Linked DNA regions of Bombyx mori. The protein of the gene in region 1 binds, or shares a complex with, the protein of each later gene. Links are inferred from orthologs where the notes say so. Each region holds a gene or a part of one and is shown on either strand. Other genes may lie near its edges.

Region 1 (4,242 bases):
CATAAATGATTTAATTTTTTGAATATTTAAACATGTAGGCATGCAGTAACATTTATTTTGTTGTCACGACAATTTTTCTTCCTCTATCCCATTGCCATAGATGGTGAATTTAGAATTGTTCAAGACTCGTAATTTTTGTCTTGTTACTTATTATTAAGTATTTTCCATATTAAATTGACCATCTTATTACCCGTCATTGAGAGTTAATATTAGAATATAATACCAATATAAGTTACAGTGAGTAGATGTCAGTGAATTCAAAACATCAAAACGCGGGACTTTCATAGTGCACTTAAATATTAAAAGTACATAAAAGTTCACTAGGGTACCGGAACATTTAGAAAGCTAATAGGTATATATTTAATAGTATATTAAATACTGTATTGGCGGAAAAGCTTAATTCATATGCACCTTGAAACGAAGTGTCCGTTTGAATGGCCGGCATTATGAACCAAACCCGCCTCCCTCCCTTTGTCTACGCCAGGATCCTTGCTGAAAAAGATAGTTCACTTTCGTAGATGAATGAATGAGTTCACGTAAGATTAAATGGTCGTTTAGGCCAATAGACAACACAAATGCCTTCAACCACAACCCTGGGCGTCTTAACATTAAGCTATGGTGCATGTAGAAAATTTTACAATAATAAAATATATATTTTATTCTTTAAAAATAAACGATAAACACCTATTTATTCTGACTCTAGAAGCGTAAGGTCGGATCTACTTCTTACTGAGTGTCTCTGAAGAGAACTCGTATCAATATTGAAGAATTTTGGACTCCGTTCTCAGAAAAAATCTAATCTTTCATAATTTGGTGAACGTGCTTACTGTTTAGCTGGAGTTGAGTGGTTACGGGAGCCCATAGACATCACGACATTAATAGCGTCCCACCCTCCTTGAGATATGAGGTTGATGTCTCAATGTTATAGTATAACGGCTGCCCCACTCTTCAAACTGGAATGCATTACTTTTTCGCGGTAGAAATAGGCAGGGTGATGTAAGTATGGACTCACACGAAGCTCCACGACCAGTAAAGATTTATGATTGCTAAAATGATCATAAACCATCCTAGAATCAAAGAGTAGAAAAATTCTATATATGTAAACGAGAGCTATAGCTCGCCCTTTGACCAGTTGATGTTGAATCATTATTTCTTTATATTCCTTAATTTAACGCTTCTAGAGTACATATATATTTTTGATTCAGGAATTTAAAGTTTGCATTTAATTGTAAAATAATTCAGAAAAACCCTCTGCCCTAAAAAAGTCGTTGCTTAGCAACGGTTTGTTTTGCAGGTCAATGCTATTGATATTTAACATTTTACGCATATTAGTACACCGAAAACACTGTAAATTTTATATTTTAAAATGAGCTTGTACAAATTGTTTAGTTCAAATGTCGAAATACAGTATAAAAGTACCTTCCTTTCCAAAGCCATGTTCTTTACTCTTTTTACGTCTATCTTAAATATTATACTGCCTTTTATTATAGCTCAGAAAAGTAGAGGTTAGAACTCCAATTTAGCCTTGCTAAAATCAGCTGAGTGAACCATGTCCAGAAAATACTTAACAGTATACAGAAACGGTCCTATTATCGTTAAAATTAAATTATTTGAAATAGCCAGTAATTACCGAATAGATATCGAAATATAAGATCGTAATACAAATATGTATTTTTACAGGGCTCTGGGTGAAATATCACAGTTTTTATGAACAGCCAACTGTTCATTTTACGTATGAGTATGTACTAATAGCCGAAACTGAGGATCCCAGTAAACCCATACTTTGTACAGAAATTGGATTGTTTGGTAATGATAATGAAGAAAGCTCTGAATCATGTGCAGAAATGCAGGTAATGAATTTTTATCGAAAGAATTGTACTGTGTAAATACAAATTACATAACTATATAGACAATGAGTTTGTTATGAAATAAGACTAAATACACTGTGTAGTACATTTTATACTGATAACATGACCAACTACAGTTTTTGATGAATAAAATTATTAAAAACATGTATTTCCAGGTTCAAGAAAATGATTTCACTGGAGATGGCAAAAAGGATGAGCTGTATATTAAATTTCACCTAAATATACCACCAGACAGAACTGTGTCTTCTATTTTATTAATTTTATCTCTTGATTTTCAGCTGAAGGTATTTTTAACTATTTTTGACATTTTAGATATTTAATAAAAAAAGGTACTAAATCTTTTCTGTTTATTTATATTTTATAAATAGGTGCTTTAAATATGGAACAAATACTTTAATAGAATCCTTTTGTTTTCTTCTTGCAGACAATATGCCCTTTACAAATGCAGAGCTTGGCATTGATTACCAAAGAGTTTGTAATACCACCATCAGAATTAATTTTTCATGGAGATCTAAATTTTTATCAAACCACCCACTTACCTTGTGAATGGTTTAATCAAGATACGAAATATAACAGATCTTTATTTGAAATTGAAAAATGGGAAAGTTACATGTCTATTGATCATTATCTGTCTGATTATTTTCATAGAGAAGGTAAGATTATTTATTTTTACAAATATACATTTTGTGCTTATTCATATTTTAATATTGGTAACAGCATTGAAGACAAAAATAATGGCTATTGTTGTGCAGCCACAGACAGAAGGCCATAAACCTACAGTAATTTTAACACAAAATTGTAACATTTATCCTGAGTTAATAAAGATTTGATTATCAATGATAATCCTTCTTTAGTAAGGCAAATAAACTCAAGTTACTTAATAAAAAACATAATGCTCCACTGTCCATTGGATCAAAACTAATCAGGTATTCATTCTTTCAACAGCTAGATAATAGGCCAAAGAAAGTTACTTGATAATAGTTTGTCTATTATTTTTCATAATCTATCCACAGTAGATCTAAACTTCCTGGTTATCCCAAATTACTATACCATTCGGGCGCATTGAAAGTCCATACCAGTTACAAATCAGTTATACAGTTCTGCTATTATTTCTGTGGTTCTGCTGCTGCCATTAATTTCAGTTTGAAGTGTGGGTTTGCCTTTATTGATACGTCAGCCTAATGTGATCTGCAGAGTAGCATTCAAGTTCTAATGTTACCAGAGTCCAGTAACCACTGATATAAGTAAACCTACAGCATATTTATTCAACTACATTCATAACCAAAAAATAAACTATTTTCAGTTACCACAGAAGTCAGAACGATAAATTCTAGAACCTACAATGGCCAGACAGATTCTATGACTGTTCAAGTTCATCTAAGAATTCCAGAGATGCAAATAAGATACACTCCTAGTATACTAGAAGAGTTTAAGTGGGCTTGGCCTCAATATCTCTCTTTTGTAGTGATATTCCATTGGTTCTTCAATAAAGTTAAGGAATTTATATTTACCAATCGACTTCTCATGTCATGGAAAGTACAATCTTGGAAAACATTTGAATGACGAACTTATGTAAGATCTATAAAATTGTACTGCGAAATAATTGATTTGTGCCAATTTCTAGTCTTCACTGTAAAATTCACTTTAATTATTAATAAGGATAAACATGTTTTAATGTTTGCAATAAAATGATATTATAAGCATTAAGTTTCATTGGCTCAAAGAATTTAATTAATAAGATTCATATTCCAAAACTATTCTTATGGTGTCAGAAGAAGGTATAGTATTCTATATATTTAAAAGATTTCAATATGAAAGTGCTCACTATATTTATTATTTTTTAAACTAAAACTTTACATAATAATATGAAACGAAACAATTTTATTTTGCTAATCATTTATTCGATATCTACTTTACTATTTACATGTTACATAGTTAATTTTATATCACTGAGTGAGAGTTAAGGTTGGAAATGCGATATCAGGTTTGGTATTATCTAATTCAGCTCGGTTGTCCTCAATTATAAATGTTTTTCCACTGTAGTCATCAAGTTGTACCAGCAAATATCTGCACATATAGTTTCCATAATCATTCTGAAAAAACAAGTGTACTGGTGAATTGGAAAGATTTTAAATGAATTTATTAAAATAGAAAATTTTAAACAGAGATTATAAGAAATTGATGAGGTGTATACAAATTATTCAGATGTATGGTGTTATTTGAACTTTTAAGTTGTTAAACACATTTCTATTTAAACAGAACTTACTTGTTTCATATCAAGTTCAACAACACCTTTATTTCTTATCCCTTTAATATAGAATCTCATTCTCATATGTTTCACTCCATCTTTTTCATATACTGCATGACTGACATG
Region 2 (3,174 bases), on another chromosome or scaffold:
CTGGGCGCAACTGGTCACACGAATGTGTGGGAGGCTTCGCGAAGGATCGCGGTTCGCGCGCTTTGATGTCTGTTAAAAAACCGACACAGCTTGGAAAACCACAAATGCAGCGAAAACTTTGCTTATTCATTTGCAAATGTCGTCCTACACTTGCGGGTTTGGGTATTCGAGTGAATGTGAGTGACCCGTATAAAATACTGATTAAATTTGTTAATTAAAAAAAAAGTGAAAAAGTGTTAGGTATTTATAAAATTAAATTAAATAATAAACTATAAATGACCATTTCTTTTTTTGTCTTAAAGCACTATTTGAGGCCGAGATGCGATTTCTTAACCAGCATACTGTATTCATCAAACCGCATTTATTGTTCTCAAAGCGTATTGTATAGCTATATCTGTCGCAAGCCAGTAAGGTGTTCCAGTATGAAGAGTCGGGTTGAAGTTAGTCTGTCCATCTCGAAGCAATAAAAATATTGATAATTTACTGGTAGGTTACAGGTAGTAGGACGTATTGGAAGCCCGTATGAGTAGATATAATAATGATCCTGCCCATTTCTACCGCAAAGCAGTTATGCATTTGAAGGATGGATCAGCTGTTATATAATAAAATTGAAACTCTGACATCATGTCTAAAGGTGGGTTCGCCATTATTCTTATGATGTTTGGTGTTTGGTATCCACTTTACACCAGACGAACCGTGAGCTTTTAGACTTCTCTAAATAAAAACACAGTTTTAGTGTAAATAACACAGAAAAAAGCCTTGTAGTAGTCAAATATTTACTGGGCGCTATAATATAGCAAAGAGCTTTTTTTTATTTATAGCTTAGATGGGTGAACGAGTTCACAGCCCACCTGGAGTTAAGTGGTTACTGGAGCCCATAATCTATCTACGACTATCCACATCTACAACGTAAATGCGCCACCCACCTTGAGATATAAGTTCTAAGGTCTCAATATAGTTATATTGTCAGTCTCATGTATTTCTCATGTAGTTGTATTGTCAATCTCATGTATTATCTCAGTATTGTCTATATATCTAATGTTTCTTTAGGTTTAAATATGTAACAGCGGTGATTTATTAACTGTTTAGTATCTGTGGAAGTGCACAAATGTGGGAAAATGAAAAAAAGTCGCTGGACGTTACTTTTCAGGATTCTCCGAAAATTCCATTGAGAAAGTCTCAGTAATTAACCACCATTTTACTGACAATATATTTCATTCTATATTATCTCATATCATTTCATTTAATTTGCCAATTGCCAATTGATTAATGTTCCAAATCAATCAACTTCGTTTCTTTTCATTTCATATTAATAATATATTTTTTAATTTTTTTAATATATAAAAGATTTGGCTGTATGGTATGATACCTGTGCCCTTCCAATTGAAAAAATAAAACTACTACTACTACAAATTTCAAAAAGTGTAAACAAAAACATTGATTTTTATTACATACGAAACCTCGAAACAGCCTCCTCTCAATTTAGAAACTTTTCAATACATTCGTACAATTTTATAAAATATGGAAAAAATGTCGAAAGTAACAAACGTTAATTCGAGTTTGGCTTATGAGATATTACTGTATTTGAACAGTTTTTATTTAGGAATGTTTATCGTTTGTGAAGTCGCAATGGGGATATTGAAGGCTATAAATGTTTCGTATCCAGAAAACGCTCTATTAACAGAAGCCGGAATATTTAGCGCCCTATGCTTTGTAGAGATGATTAGGATCTTTTTGGGGCGTAGAGGAAACTTAGCAAGCAAAAGTAAGTATCGTATATATTCAATATTCTGCAAAAATATATTTCAAGATTCGTTGTTGTACGGAATATGTACTAAATCGCAAAAAAATATTTTGTGTCTTAAGTAAATTAAAATAGAAACTATTTTCGTTTCGTTCAATGTTACTTTTCACCATAATATGTTAACAATGTTTTTGTTACAGAAATACCGGTCTTTCTGTCAGTGCTATTGACGATTCCCTCTGCTGTAGGAGTATGTTATTTTCTAATTTATCAAACTTACATACTTCGGTTGGAATACATCTGGTGTGCCGTCATGTTAATGTTCCATGCTCTCGAGTTTGCTTTTGCAATCTTATTTATTTTTACTGTATGTAAAAATCAACAATTTGATTAAATAATGAAAACCTGAACCTCAAATATTGCAAACATTCCATATTTTTATTAAATATAGCATTAATTCAATTTGATCATTGTAATTACTCTTGTGTAGTAAACTAGGATTACTAAAAGTTAGAAACATGTGAAAAAATATAATCTCATGCCTTATGATTCTCCTTACTTTGTTGTTAATCTGGTAACATTATATTTACTAGTCTGCATTTTTATGTTTCTAGCCATTTGTAACATTAGTAATCCCCTTTGTGAAAACTGCATTAGAATTACTGTGATCATCTTATTATATTATACCGCTTTGAATAAAATCAAGAGCAACATGTAAATTAAGACTGTTTTTTTAACTTTAATGTTCAAAGTTGGCTTTTGATCTTTATGTGTCTGTTAATTAAATATATTTAATTTAATTTTATTGATTTTTAATATTTATAAATTAGAGTTGGTGAAAAATAAAGTATTAAACTAAATAACATTTAACTAATTTATTTTTATTCTAAATTATTACAATGGCAATTCACTCTTCGCTTTCTTTCTTAGGCGGTACTAAATGTTCAGGTAACTTTTGACATTCAATTTTTGTAACTTTCAACGCACAACCTTCTGGCAGATTCCGTTCGATATATTCCAAATATGTGTCGCACGTAGATCCAGTGAGCCTCTGCATATGTATAAACCTGAAGTATGTACGAATTTCATACTGCACTTTGTGTTTCTTGTAAATGTGTACACATTTTAAAAGTGTGTGCCTTTCTTTCTCTGCTTTCCTTAGTGCCCAACTGAAAAAAATAAAACTAACTAGTAGTATCTCTTTTAGCACTAATAACTTAAATTTAAATCTTTAATATGAAGGGTAAAATTTTAAATTGTAATAAATCATCTTCAAATGCCTCTATCTCCCTATATTTCATTATTTCATTACTAGTACAGGTATAAGGTACATGTAGTTTTAAGTGATAACCAGAGCCCATAGAAATCTCAATAAATTTCGATTCTATTGGCCGTCCTACCTTTCAAAGCAGAGCACATTATTATTTCTC

The links.
Region 2: transmembrane protein 231 (region 1) and transmembrane protein 216 share a complex: the UniProt entries of both Homo sapiens proteins name them as parts of the tectonic-like complex. The link is inferred for Bombyx mori from reciprocal best matches to the Homo sapiens genes TMEM231 and TMEM216.

Annotation. Positions count from the first base shown.
Region 1 is NC_085110.1:12,598,532-12,602,773, forward strand, and holds transmembrane protein 231, read left to right. Parts: upstream 1-1,347; 5' UTR 1,348-1,366; coding exon 1,367-1,505; exon of another isoform or gene 1,506-1,549; coding exon of another isoform or gene 1,550-1,583; intron 1,584-1,680; coding exon 1,681-1,850; intron 1,851-2,023; coding exon 2,024-2,152; exon of another isoform or gene 2,153-2,197; intron 2,198-2,292; coding exon 2,293-2,521; intron 2,522-3,171; coding exon 3,172-3,431; 3' UTR 3,432-3,568; downstream 3,569-4,242. Other genes in the region: mitochondrial import inner membrane translocase subunit Tim21, read right to left, coding at 3,815-3,961, 4,135-4,242. UniProt on the Homo sapiens protein: Transmembrane component of the tectonic-like complex, a complex localized at the transition zone of primary cilia and acting as a barrier that prevents diffusion of transmembrane proteins between the cilia and plasma membranes.
Region 2 is NC_085132.1:4,411,392-4,414,565, reverse strand, and holds transmembrane protein 216, read left to right. Parts: upstream 1-1,389; 5' UTR 1,390-1,521; coding exon 1,522-1,765; intron 1,766-1,944; coding exon 1,945-2,138; 3' UTR 2,139-2,544; downstream 2,545-3,174. Other genes in the region: mRpS10 (mitochondrial ribosomal protein S10), read right to left, coding at 2,652-2,913. UniProt on the Homo sapiens protein: Part of the tectonic-like complex which is required for tissue-specific ciliogenesis and may regulate ciliary membrane composition.